4 linked regions of the Saccharomyces cerevisiae S288C genome follow. The protein of the gene in region 1 interacts with the protein of each later gene in a biochemical or structural test. Each region holds a gene or a part of one and is shown on either strand. Other genes may lie near its edges.

Evidence for each region.
Region 2: the proteins of SWE1 (region 1) and HSL7 form a complex in vitro, tested with the Saccharomyces cerevisiae proteins (2 studies listed by BioGRID).
Region 3: of the proteins of SWE1 (region 1) and CDC5, one has a biochemical effect on the other in vitro, tested with the Saccharomyces cerevisiae proteins (2 studies listed by BioGRID).
Region 4: of the proteins of SWE1 (region 1) and PPH22, one has a biochemical effect on the other in vitro, tested with the Saccharomyces cerevisiae proteins (2 studies listed by BioGRID, with this or other methods).

What each region holds. Positions count from the first base shown.
Region 1 is NC_001142.9:75,412-82,020, forward strand, and holds SWE1 (tyrosine protein kinase SWE1), read right to left. Parts: upstream 3,852-6,609; coding exon 1,392-3,851; downstream 1-1,391. Other genes in the region: 60S ribosomal protein eL39 RPL39, read left to right, coding at 522-527, 914-1,063; alpha-1,2-mannosyltransferase MNN5, read left to right, coding at 4,744-6,504. UniProt on the Saccharomyces cerevisiae protein: Protein kinase that acts as a negative regulator of entry into mitosis (G2 to M transition) by phosphorylating and inhibiting the mitosis-promoting cyclin B-bound CDC28 at 'Tyr-19'.
Region 2 is NC_001134.8:501,304-506,156, forward strand, and holds HSL7 (protein arginine N-methyltransferase), read right to left. Parts: upstream 2,985-4,853; coding exon 501-2,984; downstream 1-500. Other genes in the region: AGP2 (Agp2p), read right to left, coding at 1-139; cyclin-dependent protein kinase regulatory subunit CKS1, read left to right, coding at 3,551-4,003; protein kinase MEC1, read left to right, coding at 4,365-4,853.
Region 3 is NC_001145.3:268,345-272,759, forward strand, and holds CDC5 (polo kinase CDC5), read right to left. Parts: upstream 2,793-4,415; coding exon 675-2,792; downstream 1-674. Other genes in the region: YMR001C-A (uncharacterized protein), read right to left, coding at 3,003-3,233; MIX17 (Mix17p), read left to right, coding at 3,849-4,319. UniProt on the Saccharomyces cerevisiae protein: Protein kinase required for the cell cycle where it is involved in mitotic exit. A component of the fear (CDC14 early anaphase release) network which promotes CDC14 release from the nucleolus during early anaphase. Phosphorylates SCC1/MCD1 and NET1.
Region 4 is NC_001136.10:122,255-127,785, forward strand, and holds PPH22 (phosphoprotein phosphatase 2A catalytic subunit PPH22), read right to left. Parts: upstream 2,745-5,531; coding exon 1,611-2,744; downstream 1-1,610. Other genes in the region: RBS1 (Rbs1p), read left to right, coding at 1-1,335; YDL186W (uncharacterized protein), read left to right, coding at 3,362-4,195; VMA1 (H(+)-transporting V1 sector ATPase subunit A), read left to right, coding at 4,533-5,531. UniProt on the Saccharomyces cerevisiae protein: Exact function not known, phosphatase 2A performs an essential cellular function.

The sequences.
Region 1 (6,609 bases):
AATTGACTAACTGCAAACCCATATTCAAGAATTATTTCACATCTTCCAGCGAGTAAACATGCCGCTGGTAATCGCGCGTCCTCAATATTTGAGTTTTTCAAATAGTGAGGTGTGGATGTATAGAGGAATTACACACTTTTAAGTATGTGATGTATGGGCGCACAGTACCAATTTAACTTTTTTTTTTTTTCATTTTTTAGCTTGATTTTCAAAAAACTTATGGGCGTTTTAGGCTCCGGCTCAAACTACCACCACCACGCGGCAGGCCGAGGCAAACAGTACGCCTTGGCGGGGACGCCGAAGCGACTCCTTCTGTTCCAAGCTCAATGGTCCTTGCGTTTACGCTCGCGCGTGGGCTAACTAACGCAATTCGGCTTTTGGGCTGTCGAGAACCGAGAATTATTCTTCGCCTTGATAGATACTTTAAAACTTCTACTTAATATACTTTCTACAATTTTTGGTACATTCATATTATACTGAAAATTCGAAAAAGACAAGCAAATAAACACAGATAGATCAACATGGCTGTATGTTAGAAAGATATTATAAATCCCAGTTAGATGCTGAACTGATCAATAGCAAATTATAAACCACATCCATCTAAATGACCTTACCACCTACAATTTGGATTTGAAATAGAAGCAATGTGTAAAATATAGGGAAAGGATTAGGAGTGTTAACCATACTAAAATTTTTCTTATCCGAAACAGAAATCTAAAGTCGCCACTACGCAGATTAAAATATGGTCATAAACTGCTTATTCTGAGAACTTTTGGTGGTCCAGCGTGGTTTATGTCAGGTGGTATTGCCTTGGATCCGTGAATGCATCACATTGATGAGTTTGAACATTGTTACTAACATTTTTTACAATTGTACACTTCGTATGTGCACGATATGTTTCCCTTTTAATTAGGCTCAAAAGTCTTTCAGAATCAAGCAAAAAATGGCTAAGGCTAAGAAGCAAAACAGACCATTGCCACAATGGATCAGATTGAGAACCAACAACACTATCCGTTACAACGCTAAGAGAAGAAACTGGAGAAGAACCAAGATGAACATCTAAGCGAAGAACATATTTATGCTTCAAACTTTTTGTCATTTGTCTTCCATCCTTCCCTTATTCTCAATATATATGTAATACGTCGTATTTGATATATATATATATATATATATAATATAATTTAACGGTTGTTATCTGCTACATCTGTAAAATAAAAATAAAAATGCTTGAAGCGGCTGTACTTAAAATAAACTCATCTAAGGTTTTACATGGTATTACTACCGGACTGCAATTACACTCTTTTTCGTTATTGGATTATTTATACAATGCGGCCCATAAGCACGTGTGGGAAAAAAGTATGTAAATAAAACAAGGTTTTTTGTTCCATTTATCATATAAAAAATTTTGGCTTAGGTCCAAAGTCGTCTTCCTGGATAATAGCACCTGCATTGCGTGTCATTTCTACATACAGGCATTCCTCAGTTTGTAAGATTTGATTTGCCGTGGGCCTTCTCTCATAATTGGGCTCTATCATCCATCGTACTATTCTCTCAAGTGATTCACCATCAATAAGAAATTTCGGTACCCATGCGGGAATTTTAGAACTTTTATGCAAAATAAGACGATTCTTGGTAGCGGCAGTATTGACATTATTATTATCGTTGCCATTATTCATATTAGGGTTGTTGATATTACTATTGTTATGAACAGTGGAGGTGCCAGCGTTGTTACTATTACCACTGATATTGTCTCTTTCAAAATCAAATAAATCATTTGTATCTACTTTCGTAATGTCTGAAAATAATGATTCAGAATGAATATCTGTGGAACTTAATCTTCCTGCATCCGATAAATCACCCGATCTCAACTTATGCCATGCGTTGCCATTGTCAGGTAACACAACGTTCGCTGCAATTTCAACAATCATCAGACCCAGGGAAAAAATATCTGCCTTGTAATCGTACGTACAATCAGAAATGATTTCTGGTGCAATATATTCTCTGTCACCTTCATTTTCAAAACTTTTATCCTCCAACGGTAAATGAGTAGCCATTCCAAAGTCACCTAGTTTTAGGTTACCTTCAAATGTGATCATGACGTTTGCGGGTTTCAAGTCCAGATGCACAATGTGACAAGAATCATGGATGAATCGTAAAGCCAGGCTTAATTCCACGATGATTTTCCAAATTCTCCAATCTTCCAACCTTTTTTTCTTTGCGATAACTTGCTCTTGTAAAAATCCATCCAAATTACCATTTTCGCACAATTCTGTCATAATATAGTATGAATTTTGAAACTTCCAGGAACTGATGTAATCGATGATGTATTCCTTCCCTTCTTGATCCATTGTAATTTGGTTTGTTACCTCGTTTAGTATTTTAATTTCCAGTAATATGCGTTTCAAGGAATTATATTTGTTTGGTTTAATGGCTTTGATTGCATACTTTTTGTTTGTTTGGGCAAACGTAACCTGGTAGACCGTGGAAAACTGGCCTTTACCAATGGAATGCACATTCGTAAATTTTTCGAAAAGATGGGAATCTGGATTTGCTGATAACTTATTTGAAGAGATTAGACGCCTTTTGGAATTTAACGGCGAAGAATCGGTGGAAGATATGGAATGCGTCTCTGCACTTGTTGTGTTTGTCACGATGGCAGAGGAGAGTGACAATGGTCTGCTTTCTCTATGTGTTTGAGATGTTGCCCCAATAATAGATTTTCGTCTTGTTGGAGTGGAGATCTCTTCGTCAGTGTCATTGTCATAGCGTCCACGAAATTGATAAGGTTGAGGGTTCTTTCTAGTTGAATGATGACTTGATATTATGATTGGAGGTGGGAAATTCTCGTCCGTGCCGTATAAATCATCTTTGAATTGTTGTAAACTGTTTGTTAGCTCTCTATTTTTCAAAATAACCGAATTCCTTGCTCTTTTGATTTTTTTGAACTTGTTAGAATGCAATGTTTGTGGAGAGCTGTTGGTAACCAAGCTATTAGTGGGAGACAGGATGTTTGTCTGGTTATTGTGACGATCATGTGCATGATATTTTGCCTCGCTCAGTGGGGATGAGTCTATGGTTGGTACATGGATGGAAGGTAAAGCTTTCGAAGACGGAGAATCTGAAAATAAAAGGTCTTCTTGTAAATTATTGTCTTCAACAAAATTTAAAGGGGAAACACTTAGAGAAGACGATGCATTTTTCGAACTCGAAAGGTGGACATGCTTATGGTCTCTTCCCTCCACTAAGGGTGATTTTTTCACTGGTGTTTCTGGTATCCTCAATTTCGCAGGGTATAACGAAGTGTCCATAGACATTTTAGATACGAGGCCCGAAGACGTAAAGGCTGATTGGTTAGGTTTAGCGACGCTATATGAAGAGGATGAGGATGTATTTTCAGTGCGAGCATCATTTTTCGGAAACCATCGCTGGTTCCATTGTTTGAGAGAAATAGGACTGTTCGTTTTTTCCGCAGATCTTTTTGTAATAGGAGTAGTAACACTTTCATTTTCATGGAACGGAGACCACCTTTTAATACGAGAATCCACGCTTTCCTCATCCTTGCCTTCTTCCTCCTCTTCTTCCTCTTCTTCAATTTTCCCAAGAAATTTGGAGTTAGCCTCTGACAAAGCTGTATTACTTAATGACAGGTTCAAGGTCCCCGTACTTCTTGTCAATTTGTTGTTCGAATATGGATAAAATTTCAGTTTATTGGTCGGGGTGCTACCCCCTATAGCAAAATCATCACTCTCGTCTTCGCCGGCCTGTTTGCCAAACATCTTCTTCCCCATAAACTGGAGGTTCTCCGTGTCCAGCATTTCGAAGTCCTCTTCATCCTCGTCCAAAGAACTCATCTGTTCTCGTGTGCGCCTGTGTGTGTTTACTTTTCCCCAGCACTACGCAATCAAAAATAGTAAGACCTGTTCAGTAGTAATCCTTTTTTTATTGGACTAACTGCGCAAGATGATGTGCAGGATAGTTAACACACGCATACATACAAAAAAGAGCCTCTTGGACAACCTTTACTTAATACACAGGGGCACGCCAATGTTCAACTGTGTTGTTGATTTCTTATCCAGCATTCTTTTACTTCTCTGCATTTTTTTCGCGTCGCGTCGCAAATTGTGATGGTTAAAAGAAAAATGAAAAAATATTTTTCGCGTCGTTATCACCCGGAGGAATAAAAAAAAGAAACATACACATCACGTGACCACAAGAATGTTAGAAAGGCTTACCAGTACTAGAGACGTTAATAAATTGCGAATAGCCCCCTATCTCCCACATGTTGGCATCTGTGAGGTGGAACCTATTTAAAGGTGCCACATTTCTTTCCTTAGAGGACGATGGTTGCAAGATCAGCACAAATCCATAGTTTGATGCATGGAAAGCGAAGCACTCTAACAGAAGTAAGATAATAAACAATCTCACGATTCTACTGATTTAAGTGCAACTAGCTCTTGGGCTTCTTTTGGTTGCCAAGTCGGAATAGACGACAGATGCATGTTTCGGTGCAGAGTTCAGAGAGATAAGTGCCTTCTTTTATCTTTTTCCCCGTTCTTGCGGATTTTTTTTTTCACTTTCTCATCGGCGGGGAAAAAAAAGTGTAACAACTAAAGGATCAACACGGCTTTAAAGTGTTTTATATATACGCAGATATGAAAAAAGCATTTTCACGGTTATTGGAAATTTTTATTTTACGACTGGTTCCTAGCACAACAAGAGGATATACTAATAGTTCAGGTTACAATGCTGATTAGGTTAAAGAAGAGAAAAATCCTGCAGGTCATCGTGAGCGCAGTAGTGCTAATTTTATTTTTTTGTTCTGTGCATAATGATGTGTCTTCTAGTTGGTTATACGGTAAAAAGCTTAGATTGCCGGTTCTAACAAGGTCGAACCTTAAAAACAATTTTTACACAACACTGGTACAAGCCATCGTGGAAAACAAGCCGGCAGATTCGTCTCCGGACTTGAGTAAGTTGCATGGGGCGGAAGGGTGTAGCTTTGCAAATAACGTTGCTGCACACGACTCTGGACACGATAGTGACTTAAGTTACGAGAGCTTGAGTAAATGCTATAATTTGAATAAAACAGTACAAGAAAGCCTACGAGAAGTGCACAGTAAGTTTACAGACACCTTATCAGGGAAACTGAATTTTTCCATCCCACAAAGAGAGGCACTTTTCTCAGGTTCTGAGGGCATTGTCACCATTGGAGGTGGAAAGTATTCTGTGCTCGCGTATACGATGATCAAAAAGTTGAGGGACACGGGTACTACATTGCCTATTGAAGTCATCATTCCGCCTCAGGACGAAGGCGAGGATGATTTTTGTAAGAACTGGTTGCCGAAATTCAATGGTAAGTGCATTTATTTCTCAGATATCGTTCCTTCAAAGCCATTAAGCGATTTAAAACTCACGCACTTCCAGTTGAAAGTCTTTGGGTTGATAATTTCCAGTTTCAAGCGTATTATCTTCTTGGACGCAGATAACTATGCGGTGAAAAACCTTGACCTTGCTTTTAACACTACATCCTTCAACGATACTGGCCTGATATTGTGGCCCGATTTTTGGAGACGTGTCACCCCTCCCGCCTTTTACAACATTATAGGATCTAGCATTAACATCGGCAAAAGAGTCCGTTTTGTTAGTGACGATATTTCCCCCGTGTCACGTTATGATCCATTTGTTAGTAACTCAAACGATTACACTCCAAAGGAGAGACAGGAGCATTTCCTGAAACATGTTCCCTTACATGATCTGGACGGCACGATGCCAGACTTGAGCTCTGAATCAGGCCAGATGGTGATTGATAAGATTCGCCATTTCAACACTCTATTACTGGCGCTATACTATAATGTTTATGGGCCTACCTGGTATTATAAGATGATTTCTCAAGGCACTGCCGGTGAAGGTGACAAAGACACTTTCGTCGCTGCTGCCCATGCCTTGAATATGCCATACTATCAAGTGAGGACTAACTTTGAATTTGATGGTTTCTTCTATCAAAAAGATGATTACAAGGGTCTCGCCTTGCTCCAGCATGATTTTGAACAAGATTACAAGCAATACCAAAAGGCGCAGCAGAAAGTTAAAGCCAACATTGAGGAATTTTCCAAACTGGATCCAGATTATACTTTGGACAATGGTTTCTTGAAAACTTTGATGGTTAATGATGACGGTTCTGATTTGGATATCATGTTCATTCATGCCAGTTTCTACAAGGCAGATCCATGGACTCTTTATCATGAAAACAGATTTATCGGTCCAAATGGCGAACAAGTACGGGGCTTCAGGAAGCCGCATCGCTATGGAATGGATTTTGAATTGTTTTTATTCAATGATATGAGGGGGTCCTTCTGTACCACTCCGAAAAGCCAAGTTATTAAATTCAAGTATTTTACCGATAAAGTTAATACCCCAGAATGGGATGCAATGTGTGAGTATTTGACCAATCATGTTAATTATCTGGAGAGCACACACAAAGAAGCTATGGGGGAGAAAAACTAATGAAGTGATTAACTATAATAATTTAATAATAACTCGCCATCCGACCTTGTATAATATAATGTAGCATATATGTGCACGGATATATATACATCTTAGAAAAAAATG
Region 2 (4,853 bases), on another chromosome or scaffold:
CCACTGACCCAGAAGGTTCCAACCATCCCTCACTAGGTTCGATACTCTTTATTCGAGTGGTTATTGTCTTGTATTTATTCTTATCGTACTCAAAATCACCGTCATTTTCGTAGTCGATGGTCATACGTTCCTTTGTCATGCTTGGCAAAAGTTATGGAAGCAAAATGTAAGTGCAGCTTAGGGGGGACAAGGCTGAAGGAAAACTATTGTTTTTAATTACCACCTATTAGTATCTTAAAGCAAAGGAGCTAACCGAGATAATATCAATACGAAGTATGGTGAACTAACACTACCCTTACTCCTGAATTACATAAATTAAAGCAGGCAACATGTCGAGATCCATTTACCATTGAAGAGTTCCAAAAAAAGGGTTCTTTTTTTATACATGTAGTTTTACGGTGCGGCGCCGACACCCCGCTCGATCGATGACGCTGACTTGTGGTACTCAGGACGTATGGATAGTTATTTGTTGCCGCAGTATATAGTATACAATGCAGAATTCACAGAGGCAGGGAAAAGGCTCTGCCACAGACATTATGTAGCGTGGAAACACTAGTCTTGACTCTGACATGAACTTCTGGAACATCTTCCTCGAGGTCTTCGTGCCTTGGCAATTCGTTAGAGGGTTCAAGCGCTTTAGTAGATTTGAGATCAAACATAGGCTTATTGATAGAATCTAAATGGTCCGGTTTGGCGGTTTCGCTGAGTCCGTGAATATCTTGTACGCTTTGCCAACCAGTTTCTAGATTGGATAGGAATCCCTGTTCTTCTTCGTTTTCAATGTCTTGGTCAAGATCAATTTGATTATCTAGCTTTTGATTGGTAGTCGCTGAATAATGTCGATTATGGGCTAAAGTTTTAGTGTCATCTGTAACTATAGACCTCGGAATAGTCATGCTTGCAGCAGTTACCGCCGAAGTGTAATTTGACAACATAAGGTATATGAAACTCTCCAAAGACCATTCATACCAAACTTTTTGTTCTGTATCGGAGTGTATCCGAGACATCAGCACAGAAAGTTCGGAGTCATCTATAAAGGATATTGGTTGCTTCAAAGGAAAGATAATTGGAGACCACGAGGTCATATTTGGTGTATGGTCACATTTCTTGATTAGATTTTCTTCTCGTCTGGTATTCATCAACGTTTCTTCGCTAAATTTTAAACGGACTGTGCTGTCATTGGGCAAAGTTGACAAGAATATATTGTTATATAAGTTTGCCGAGAAGAATCCGATAAAGCCATGGATTTCGCCGCGGTGCTTTATCTTGAACTCATTTAATGAACTTTGAGAAAATTCAACTGTAAAATCATCTTCGTCTTGGACAGTATCTTTTTGGGCCATGGGATGCTCGAACCGCCACACTTCATTTACCCTTGAGGATAATATACAGTATGGCACTCTATGGACTATCCAGGGCGCCTCCAAAGAGCGATTTGTTTGTGAGAGTTTTTGGTAGAATAATGGTGACGAAATGGGTGCTATGTATGAAGAGTATGACCTCGGTATGAAAATTGTGTCATTGTGGGAATGATATTTTTCAATAGACCAGAGACATTCTGGTGATAATTCATTGCAACCGAACGAACCCAGCAGTTCACTTATGCACAGATCTATCTGAATACGCTTTTCCGACGGCTCGTTGATTTGCCATTTGGTCATATCCTCCTTGATTAATTTCACTCTATTATCCCAACAGTCGAAATTTCTTTTTTGCAAGTACAGATATGCCTGTGGATTTTTTTCAATGGCAATTATAGAAACCTTACTATCCATAAACAACATTGATATTATCTTAAAAGTTCGATCCACTAAAGGTCCTCTTCCCGCACCGGCTACTAGGATCACCAACGGTCTCTTGGCACTCGCTCGAGGAGCAAGATCTTGAAGCGCCTCTAATATGGCAGATTCGTAAAGATCGTACTTCACCAAATCTTTTTCAAAAGTCAAATATGTGGAATTTAATAAATTATCTGAATGAGGTTTCAGAGGCGGCATTATCCGAGAGTCCTCTTGGAGCAAAAATTGGTGATTACTATTGGAATTTAATACTTTGTCGCCCTTTTTCAATAAGTAGTTTATATATTCCAAATAGGCAGATTCTCCGCCCTTAACATTATTGGCATATTTCTCCATCCCATGCAATATCACGCATAATTCATTACCCAAAATTTGTGAATCTCCATTAACCTTTTGGAACTTTAAAATCAAATTCTGGTTAAACTTGTGTAAAACGGGATAATCGTACTGATTACTGGCAAAGATGGATGAAGATACCAAAAGACACGAGACGGGTTCGGCTAACCATCTATTCAGCACATACGAAGGAGTCCTGGTTCTTGGCAAAGCCAAAGAGATAGTCAAAGAGGGATGATATTCGCATTGTTTCCGCACGGTATTCCACAGTTCCCAAGTGGCCAATGGATCGCTGTCTTCGTAAAGTGGCAGAGAAATGGATATGGTTAACGCAGGCGCAGCAAAGACGATGCGATTTTGCAGGAGCCTGTAAATCATCTGTCCATACAATTGCAGGTTGGACAGGTCCCGTGGAGGCGCCAATATTAGCTTATTGATTCCAACAAACCTCGCGTACTTACATTCGTTTAGAAGGACCTTTAAGCCAAGATCTCTTACATTTGGATCGCGACTCTCCAGCTCCAGCCAAGAGGATAACAGCCCTATGTAAGACGGCGTATCGTCATTGTCTAGCTTCTTGACGTTGAACGGGGGTATACAGATATCCTGCAACTGCGGTTCAGGAATTTGAAGCGGTTTCCAGTTCTGTATGGATTGTCTTTGGAAATCTTTGAAAACTTGCCCAACTATTTCCTTATATCTTGGCGTTGTTATAGGAAGCAAAACGTAATCATAGTTACTAGGCAGTTCTGGTGAATGACTAGAGACATTTTCTAGGAAACGTGACTTTTTGCTGTGCTGTTTATGATTAAAGCCTGGTTTGACACCAACAAATACGTTGCTATGCATATGCAAACTGAACCCTTTGTATATATAAAAATTATATGTATAAAAGAAGAGGAACGTCCGCACAATTCCACACACACACACACACACACGCTTTCACACACGCAATTTGAAATAGCTCCTATAGGGCTTGGGAATAGGATCACAAGTCACTCGAAATATACCATTTTTTCTATCACACATACACATTGTATAAAGCCATTTGTTTCAAAAAAATATAAAAACACTGCGCAGCGTGCTGTTTCGGGTTCCATTTGTGATTGTTTATTTTTCTTTTGGTTTAGCTCAGTGCAAAACGAGGGCTCGAAGAATTTTCAGATAAAACAGTACTCGAGCCCTGAGATCTGTTTTAGGGTCTAAAAGGCGGGTTATAAAAATATGTCAGGTGATTTTTTTTTCTCGTGGTATGAGATAAATAAAGAATGGAGCTTTTATGCATGAAAGGACAGCGGATGGCAGTAGAGCAGACATCAGTAGCATTCATTACAACTCTGTCGTAAGTTCTTGGAACTGCTGGCCGCGTTGGATACAACTAGATTGACACGCACTTACTCTCGTCTTACAGTACTATGTACCATCACTATCACGCCTTCCAAGGCAGAAAGCTTACTGACCAAGAAAGAGCACGCGTGTTGGAGTTTCAAGATTCCATTCACTATTCTCCGCGGTACTCAGACGATAACTATGAGTACAGGCATGTGATGTTACCTAAGGCCATGCTAAAAGTTATCCCATCTGATTACTTCAATTCGGAAGTGGGGACCCTGCGTATATTAACAGAAGACGAATGGAGAGGCCTCGGCATCACACAGTCTTTGGGGTGGGAACATTATGAATGCCATGCGCCAGAACCACACATTTTGCTATTCAAAAGGCCGCTGAACTACGAGGCCGAGCTGAGGGCAGCGACCGCTGCTGCTCAACAGCAACAGCAACAGCAGCAACAGCAGCAACAACAACAACAGCAACATCAAACACAATCGATTTCGAACGATATGCAAGTTCCACCCCAAATCTCCTAGCTTTGATATACTCTAATTACTGAAATTGAATTCCTTTTCAAGGCTCCATAACTATATGGAGCATACTATGTACTTATCATAATAAAGAATAAACAAACAAGCAAACAAAAAAAAAAAAAACTATGGATCATAGTTTTCACCAACAAGCATTAGAATACAAATAAAATTTATATAGTGAATATCCTTCAAATAAATTTCTTCTTTCCCTTATAAATCAAATAGATGGAACGCACGCTCCAAAACTAGTCAACTAGAAAAAAATACCCGCCGACGGACAATTTTGAAGAGAGATGATTAATGAAGACAAAGTGAGGCTGGACAACAAGAACGACATACACCGCGTAAAGGCCCACAAGACTGCATGGAATCACACGTCAAATATCTTGACGAATTGATATTGGCAATAAAAGACCTGAACTCGGGGGTGGATTCAAAGGTGCAGATTAAAAAAGTGCCCACGGATCCATCTTCTTCTCAGGAGTACGCCAAGAGTTTAAAGATCCTGAACACCCTCATAAGAAACCTAAAAGATCAAAGAAGGAACAATATCATGAAAAATGATACTATATTTTCGAAAACAGTTTCCGCCCTTGCCTTATTGTTGGAGTACAACCCCTTCTTGCTTGTTATGAAGGATTCCAACGGGAACTTTGAGATACAAAGGCTGATAGATGATTTCCTCAACATATCCGTTCTGAACTATGATAATTACCACAGAATATGGTTTATGAGGCGAAAATTAGGCAGCTGGTGCAAAGCATGTGTCGAATTTTACGGAAAACCTGCTAAGTTTCAGCTTACTGCACATTTTGAGAACACCATGAATCTTTACGAACAGGCCTTGACTGAA
Region 3 (4,415 bases), on another chromosome or scaffold:
TTAATTTCGCAATTTGTTGATGAGAAGTTCTGGCTACCTTAGTCACTATTTATTTTACTATGGCGGTATAAGTTTCTCCCGCCTTGAAAAAAGGAATACAGTAATAAAATGAATATAAATCAGGATTTTTTGGATTTTAACTAGGTAACAAAGAATTAGCAAATAACTGCCCATAATAGTATTCTTAAGTTTGTAGATACATGTCAAGTAAGCCAGCTTTTGATAAAACTTAAAAATTGGTAAACCGCGGATGTACCAAGTGAATAGCTTTCAAAATTAATGTTGTCACTCTTCCAATGGGCACCTGTAAGAATAATTAAAAAGAAATCTAGGTTCAAAACAATATTTTTGAGAAAATCTCAGGAAGCGACAGGTTATCATCCCATACATACAATATGAATACAAAAGCATGGCAATTTTGAATAGATATAGCTCTAGAACCGCTCAGGCGAAAAAAAACGCTATATGAGAACTATTGAAAAGGAAGAACTAACATGAAAGATGTTTGTTCATTTCGTACCTTTAGAAAAAGGGTATTAATGCTAGGGGTAAATATTATATATTATCTTCGTTAAGGGCAAGACCATTTATTTTATTTAGTATTAGTTATTAATGGGGCCCAATCAATGGACTGGTAATTTCGTATTCGTATTTCTTTCTACTTTAATATTGGTTTAATCTACGGTAACAATTGTGGACTTCTGCTTCAAACCTTCCTTTATCAAAGTTAGTTTCTCTCTAAAGTTACTTTCTGGATATCCTGGGATCTCGCCATATTTTAGTACTTCAACTAAGGGATATGTGGTGCTTTCATGGGAGGGAGAAATGTAGGTCACCAATTTACCTCCGTCGGATATTGCCATTTTATGATGATCTTTGAAATTGAACTGGAAAGTACCATCACTTAGTTCAAACATAACAAATGGTTTATACCTTGTGTATCTTCTCAAAAATACATCATCTTTATGATATTCTTCTCTGCCAAACGTAGATACTCGGCTCAAATTTGCCTTCATGTACTTGGCAAAAAAATCAACTACTTCTAAATGTCTACTTAGCTCTCGTGGTTTTTCGCTCAATAAATAATGACTTGCTACCCAACCTTCCCGATCGTCATAACTAATATACCAAAACTCTTCTGCATCTGCCAATCGGAGAACTGTGGTGCCATTATTAAATAAGACACCAATATCCTCTGTTGATAACTGATAGGAGAATCCGTGTTTGTTGGAGTAGTCGACCCACTTGGTAACTATCATTGGGTGTTTAATTTTAGGCAATCTTGATTTCGGAAGACCTCCCATTTTATACTGAGCTTCTGCTTCTACAATGCCATTCAAAGTAAGATGACACTCACTGGCTAATATTCTCAAGGAGATTTCTGATTTAATGACATTGGTCGATGTAGCTATTAATTCTTTTCTCAAAACGGCCTGTTGTGCTCTACGTATCCTTGCTTCACGAGCCAAATCGTTTAATCTTCTTTGTGCCTCTATATCAACAACCTCCTTATATTTCTGTTTCGTCCCGCCAGGGGATAAAGAATGTGGTAAAAATGGTCTGTTTTGGTGGTACTCTTCTAGTTTATCGATACTAGATTTAATTGAAGAAATATAATCCCTCTTTTGACGCTGAATTTTATCGCTGCTCATGCTTTCTAATAGTAGAGATTTTTCCATGCAATCTTTGAAGTTAACCAGTGACTGCTCTTCAGGAATATCCTCAAAATTTGGTGCTTCTGACATGACCGTCGAAGGAATAGATGGTGGGAAAGTTCCCCTAAACCATACATAATCCATAATTTCAGTCAAAGAGGGCCTTTCTATTGGATCTAAGGATAGAATGTCTCTTATTAAAATCTTACCTTCATCTGAGATTGGTTTATCTCTTGGAAACGAAAAATCACGACATTTGATTCTTTCATAAATAGTGTTTACATCTCTTGCTTGGAAGGGTGGCTTACCAATCAACAAAGCATAAAGCATAACACCTAATGACCAAATATCTACTTCAAATGAATGTCCAGAATGCTTACCCATCAACACTTCAGGTGCGATGTAATTAGGTGTTCCGCATATGGTGTATTTACGTTCACTTTCATTCGCCAACACAGCTGCCAGACCGAAGTCACCAATCTTTAAGTTATAGTTTGAATCGAAGAAGATGTTACCAAGTTTTAAATCTCTATGTATAACTCTTCTTGAATGCATATACTTAATTGCACCACATATTTGAGTGGTGAAAAATCTAACTTCTGGTTCTGTTAAAACTTTTCTTCTTTTTAGTAATTCCATTAATGAACCGTTGGGGCATATCTCCAATAAGATATAGACATTGCTATCATCCTCAAAACAATCAATAAACTGAACGATATTTGGATGGGACATACTTTTATGAATTTGAATCTCCGACAACAACTTTTTTCTTGTCTTCTCTGATTTAATTGAGGCTTTAGCAACTGTTTTGGCAGCAAAAATTTCGCCTGAATCGTCCTTAATTTGGAAACAGCGAGCAAATCCACCTTCACCTAAAAAATGACCTCGGTGATAGTCTTTTCCTCTTGTTTTGATTAATGAAGGTGGTGTTTTACACAAAGCTGATAACTTTTCCCTTTTCTTTTTTTGAGCTGGCTGGTGGTGATGATCATTATTCGGATCTAGTCTCTTTGTTTGTTTAAAGTGATTTTCTTTTCCTACGAGGTCTGCGGTATTTCCCTTTATTGGGGTGTGAACTAACTTGGAACGGGTATTCAATTGCTTATCATTGATAGCTTTAAGAGGACCCAACGACATCTTTATTCGACTTGATCTTACTCTGTTCTTTCTTCTCCACGGCTGTGATTTTTATTCTCTATGAATAACAAATGTAACGTTTATCGATGAATGAAAGAGAGTATATATAGAGAAGATATAAGAAAGCCAATGTTTTTGTGTACAAAAAATAATACTCAGCTCAATTATACAAACTTGACTATGCAGTTTAGCTTTTTTGTCTTTTCTTTTTTAAGTTTTCTTGAAAGTTAATGTAGTATATGCCACAAAATTGAAGGATGAAAAAATAGGAAAAAAAGCAGAATCAGAATTTGACACAAAAGGCTTATTGTTCTTTGAAACTGCCGCTTGAATTGGATTTACTTTCTCAGTGATTCTATATGTATTGTACGAAAGTTGAGTAGCACAAGAGTAACTGTTCAAGATATGCCTTGTTTCAAAGGATGTACATTCAAAGATCATCCCAGGTCCTCGAGATATTTATTCGTTCTATATTTTGGATTTTCTTTATTGGGTTTGTTTTGTTTTGACCCTTTTAGGTAATATCTTTTGACAGAGAAAAGTCCAAAAGTTCTTCCGGGTGATGCTACATAATGCCCTACCCGGGCAACATATAGAATAAGGTATATAAAGTAATAATATGCAGTGAAGTTACCACCGGGTAACGCATCTAGAACAGCTGAGATGAAAGAGGATAGGCTTGATCGCAGATTTTGCCCGCCCTATCTTTTCAATGTTCCTTCAACAATAACATAAATTTTGATGTAAAAATATGCTGGCGTCCTCGTACGATTCCCTCTTCATTTATCACAGAAGATGGTGATGATTCTACACATCTGGAAGGCAATAACAGTGCAACTTCATTTTCCGAGGTTCGGTTATGTCATGTGTGCTTTTATACGGCAAACGCCACCTTGAACAAAGGTATAAAAGAAAAGCGCTTTTTCACTCCACCGCAATCTCCGCGACCTATATAAGCCTATCACTCGTACAGTTTATAACCTTTAAGAAAAAGGATTAATATTTCGAACAAAGAACAGAACAAGAAAAGCAACAACAGCAACAAAATTCTAAAATATGGCACGTTCAAGAGGATCATCAAGACCTATATCGAGATCGAGACCTACTCAGACAAGGTCCGCTTCTACCATGGCGGCTCCAGTTCATCCACAACAACAACAACAACCAAATGCCTATTCACACCCTCCTGCTGCAGGTGCCCAAACGAGACAGCCAGGTATGTTTGCGCAGATGGCCTCCACTGCTGCAGGTGTTGCCGTTGGTAGCACCATTGGACACACCCTAGGTGCAGGTATTACCGGTATGTTTTCCGGATCCGGGTCTGATTCCGCTCCTGTTGAGCAACAACAGCAAAATATGGCCAACACCTCCGGCCAAACCCAAACGGACCAGCAGTTGGGAAGAACTTGTGAAATAGACGCGAGAAACTTTACACGTTGTTTGGATGAAAACAACGGCAACTTCCAGATATGTGATTATTACTTGCAGCAACTAAAAGCCTGCCAGGAAGCTGCACGTCAATACTAAGTTTAAAAGCTCAAAAATTTAGAAAATATTCACTAAAATCATACATTTCGGTAATGTTCTTGTTTTAACCATGTCATTTGACTTATTTTTTTTTGA
Region 4 (5,531 bases), on another chromosome or scaffold:
GCTATGGAAACGGGCTTGTTCCAGAAACCACAGGACCGTATCTTTATAATAGAGCTGGAAAATTCCATAGTGTCATTCATAAACTCAAACACAGAATCATTTCAGCTAAGACCGATGAATTCATATTATAGGCTTCTATCGCACCAAATAGCTGAGTACCACAACTTGAACCATGTTTTGGCAAGAACTCAAGATAGTTGTGTGATTCTTTTCAAAGGTGAGAATTTCCAAAAGATTGAAGGAAAGCCACTCTTACAAGAGTTGCAGCTGAACAAAAAACCGGAAGAGTGTGCTTCCTCAAGTGAGAGTATTGAAAAATCGAACAATAACAGAATATTTCGAATCTTAAAGCGGAAAGAGGTAGGTAACGAGTGCGATTATAAAATCGATGGCAATACACGTACACCAAATAGCAATTTGACAGCCAATTCAAATAAGGACCAAAAAATCGAAATCGATGATAAATCTAGTACTGATTTGGAACAAGAAAGAATTGAGAAGGAAAGACTTTATGAACAACGTAAACAAGAAATTTTTGATAAGCTCAACAAGAGTGAAGACGATGTAAAGTCAACCAACAGTAGCGGTAGTAGTGATAGTGACAATGAATGGAGTGATTGGTTGAACGGAGATGACTCTAACACACAAACTAGTAACGGTTCAGTTAGCTCTTCATCACCATTCAATTCATCTGTGACGACGATACAAGTAAACAAACCTCAACAACAATTTTATGATAGTCGAAGAGGAAGAGGAGGAAGAAGAAGAGGAACAAACAATTACAAAGATGCCTATAGAGGCCAAAGTCGTCGGAATAAAGAAAACGGCGGTTACCAATCGGGATATTCTTCGCCATATCTTGTGTATCCTCCTCCCCAAATGGGTGGCAATAGTCTGCCAACCTACCCTCTAATGTATAACCCCGCTGGTCCTGCCCCCGGTCCTGCACCTTCACCCATGGTAATGGGCAATAACACAGTCTTCATGAACCCTTACATGTACAATATGAATCCCCAAGGGTCCTGTTCGTTTGGCACCCCAATCCCTATGTATCCCCCATACCAATATCAATATCAATACCAATATAACACTCAGTATCACAGCGGGCCATATAGCAATACACCAAGCTATAATTCTAACAATTACACAAGATCCTCAGCAAATAAGTACCACCATTTTCAAGGAAAAAATTCATATTCTGGTGCGATTCCGAAACGTAGTGATGACAGTAACAGTAATAAGAATGAGGGAATTCGTAGGGCTAGTGTTGAGGGTTCGCCGTCATCTAGGGATACTGATTCGGTAGAGATGAAATTTGATAAATTAAACATTTAGCGTGAGGAGTGAACTATACATAGCGAAAAAATTACGTAACGGTTTATAGAAATTCTAGTATGAGAACAGTAATATATGAGAAAAAGTTGTTTTCACTTTGTGTTCGAAAAAATAAGTATTTGAAAACGAAAAAATAGTTTGTATGTTTGTATATAAGTTGTTATTATCAAAAATTAGAGGGAAAAAGTAACTAAATATATATTAAAAAAAAAAAAAAAATAAATGTATGTTGGAATGAAATAGCGTAGTAAGGATAAAGGTGTAATAGATATATATTATAAGAAATAATCCGGTGTCTTCCTGGTGACGGTTGGTTCACCGGGTCTCACAGATGGATCGTATTGTAAGAATTGCCTATTATGGTTTTCATCCACCTCCATAATAGCGGCCTGGTTACCACATCTATAACAATAATTTGGAGCACTGAAAATGGTGACAACATTTTGCTGGTGAGACCAAGAATATCCTTCCATTACCAATTGGTGAGCTCTTGCTATTAGTGATAGGTCATTAGTGTGATTGAATTGCTCACTGATGTCTTGACCAAAAGTGAAGCCTGCACCTCTCGGACTGATTCCCCATCCGCCTCTATCATCAGGATCGGACCATAGAAGGTCACACATTGGACCTTCGTGAGGCACTTCCTGTATTCTATTTAAATCTCTAACTTGATCTATTGTCTCTATCATGGGTGAGAGACCTCCATGCAAACAGAAGATTTTATTATCCACCAAGGCAGTAACGGGGAAATAATCGAATAGATCGGTAAACATTTTCCACACGTTCGCACTGCCGTACTTTCTCAAACATTCGTCATAAAACCCATATACTTGGGTAATCTGCCTAGACTCGTGATTGCCCCTAAGTATAGTAATTCTATGTGGATATCTGACTTTCATGGCAACTAGGTAAGATACGGTCTCAACAGAATAATATCCTCTATCCACGTAATCACCCATGAAAAGGTAATTGGTGTCAGGACAAGGACCACCAATCTTGAAAAGTTCTAACAAGTCATGGAATTGACCGTGTACGTCACCACAAATGGTAACAGGCACGTTAATTGGTTTAACATTCTCCTCGAACTGCAACACGTCCACCGCCATTTTACATAGTCGTGCTACATCGTCTTCTGATAGTGGCTCGCATTTACTCAAATGCTCAATCCATTGGTCAAGCTGATTTATATTTGTATTGGTCAGTTTTAGTGGTTTGGAGGATTTATGATCTGCTATACCCGAGGACCCCGGTTTAAAATTAAAATCTTCCAACTCTTCATCTGTGTCTTCGTCATTAGAACGCGCCTTCGTATTATTTTTGCCGTCATCACTATTCATGTCTTCGTCGAGAGTCGGTGATAATTGATCTTCATCTGAACCATGCATAGGGTCATCAATTTCCATATCCATTTTTTTCGAATGAAAGCCAGTTATACAGAAGTGCCAATAATATAAAATTCAAAAAAAGACGTAACAGGAACAATAACCGGAAAGGAAAGAGAGCAGGTAGGACAAGAAGTAAACGGGTTTGCGTGTTCTTGTTCGAACACTGTTTTGCAGCGGGCTGGTACCTTAAGAAGTTTGCTCTAGTTACAGCCCTTCAATTGGTTTTATAAAATGGGGATGTCCCTTTGAAACTTTCCACGACTCTTTTCCACAATTCAGCGGAAAAGAAAATAATAACCTCTTCTAGATTACCCGGTCATGTCAGGGTAATACACGATTGTATTTCAAAGTGCACAACGACTATTGTTGTCGTATAAGCTTTTGGATTAATCTTAGCATTAATTGATACATAATTCCGCAAGAAGAAGTTTTAGGAGAATAGAGTTTCGCTTCTTTTATTAATATTCTGTCCTGTGTCACAAAATATTGTAATAATTTGGTGCGGTGTATGGGTTCAAGTTCCCAAAAAAACAACTAATTTGCGACACTTCGTAGTTCTGTGCTTTTATATGGAATATACTTGTGGACTCTATTCCTGGATGTAGATTTGCTTACAGATAGCCAAGAAATATTAGAAAAATATGCAGTGTAACACAAGTATAGAAGATGGTTTAGATGGGGGCGACATAACTTTCCCATCCTACAGCCCTGAAGCGGAGGCTCAAAACAGATTCTTACCAAGAAGTGAGTTCCCCTCTGTGAGGCAACTCGTGATTTCGAAACAAAAAAGCAGAAGAAGAAGAGAAGAAAATGTATTTGTGGGAAAAATGGAGGACGTACTTGTAAAATGGAGGCCACCTGCATCTTCACATCGTGGCGCAATTGAAGCTATTAATGGCACGCATCCATATCAGCTTAGCACAGCACAATTCAACTCGAGAAGATCGGATCCATTTGGTTCAACAAAGAGAGATGAATCCGTGCGTTCCATTGTAGAATCGTTTACCGATTGGTGGAAACGCAATTCCAAAATGTTTTTTCGTGACGAGGAAGAAGGTGTACGAACCGAACACAGTGCGAGTCAAGATGACCAAGAGTTGCAGCTTTTCGAAGAAGATCTCTTCTCATTTCACCTAAGCCCAAATGATATGTCAACCAGGAACAGCGAACATCAAGTGCAAACACCGGTGCTTTTCCCGTACGAAGCTCCTACTCGAACAAAACAAAACCCAGCAGAAAGAAAAGTCATTGAAATTGGGGACGGCGAAGAACTCTCTATCTATCGAGATGTTTATTCCAATCCTATTCCTGTCAGCTACCTAGATACCTTAAACTTGAACCACTCCATGTCTGTACGGCAAACACAACAGCAACAACAACAGCGGCAACAGCAGCAGTATGTAGACTCTTCATCGGCATTTCAATGCTGTACAGACTCCAATTGGGCGAGAATATTTTTTTGCCACCACGATTAGACTCCACTTTGCTTCTATAGTCCTATCTATTGTTCTTTTTATTCCTAGCATAACCTTATTGTATTGTTCTTTTTCTTTTTCCTTTTTCTTTTTTTTTTTTTTTTTTTTTTTTTTTTCACATCTTTTTCCACGGCCGCTCAAAGGGGTCTCACACTGGATTAAAAGCTGAAAACAAGAAATGGCTCTTTCGATAAGGTTGCAACATTTTGATTACTACGTTGATTAGAATAAAAAGTACCAAACACATTTCTCAAAGCATATAGATATCTAAGATTATAACGCAGGAGTCGTTCTTTCATTCTTAGAGTTAAAAAGCAAATAGAGAAGAAAAGAAACAATGGCTGGTGCAATTGAAAACGCTCGTAAGGAAATAAAAAGAATCTCATTAGAAGACCATGCTGAATCTGAATATGGTGCCATCTATTCTGTCTCTGGTCCGGTCGTCATTGCTGAAAATATGATTGGTTGTGCCATGTACGAATTGGTCAAGGTCGGTCACGATAACCTGGTGGGTGAAGTCATTAGAATTGACGGTGACAAGGCCACCATCCAAGTTTACGAAGAAACTGCAGGCCTTACGGTCGGTGACCCTGTTTTGAGAACAGGTAAGCCTCTGTCGGTAGAATTGGGTCCTGGTCTGATGGAAACCATTTACGATGGTATTCAAAGACCTTTGAAAGCCATTAAGGAAGAATCGCAATCGATTTATATCCCAAGAGGTATTGACACTCCAGCTTTGGATAGGACTATCAAGTGGCAATTTACTCCGGGAAAGTTTCAAGTCGGCGATCATATTTCCGGTGGTGATATTTACGGTTCCGTTTTTGAGAATTCGCTAATTTCAAGCCATAAGATTCTTTTGCCACCAAGATCAAGAGGTACAATCACTTGGATTGCTCCAGCTGGTGAGTACACTTTGGATGAGAAGATTTTGGAAGTTGAATTTGATGGCAAGAAGTCTGATTTCACTCTTTACCATACTTGGCCTGTTCGTGTTCCAAGACCAGTTACTGAAAAGTTATCTGCTGACTATCCTTTGTTAACAGGTCAAAGAGTTTTGGATGCTTTGTTTCCTTGTGTTCAAGGTGGTACGACATGTATTCCAGGTGCTTTTGGTTGTGGTAAGACCGTTATCTCTCAATCTTTGTCCAAGTACTCCAATTCTGACGCCATTATCTATGTCGGGTGCTTTGCCAAGGGTACCAATGTTTTAATGGCGGATGGGTCTATTGAATGTATTGAAAACATTGAGGTTGGTAATAAGGTCATGGGTAAAGATGGCAGACCTCGTGAGGTAATTAAATTGCCCAGAGGAAGAGAAACTATGTACAGCGTC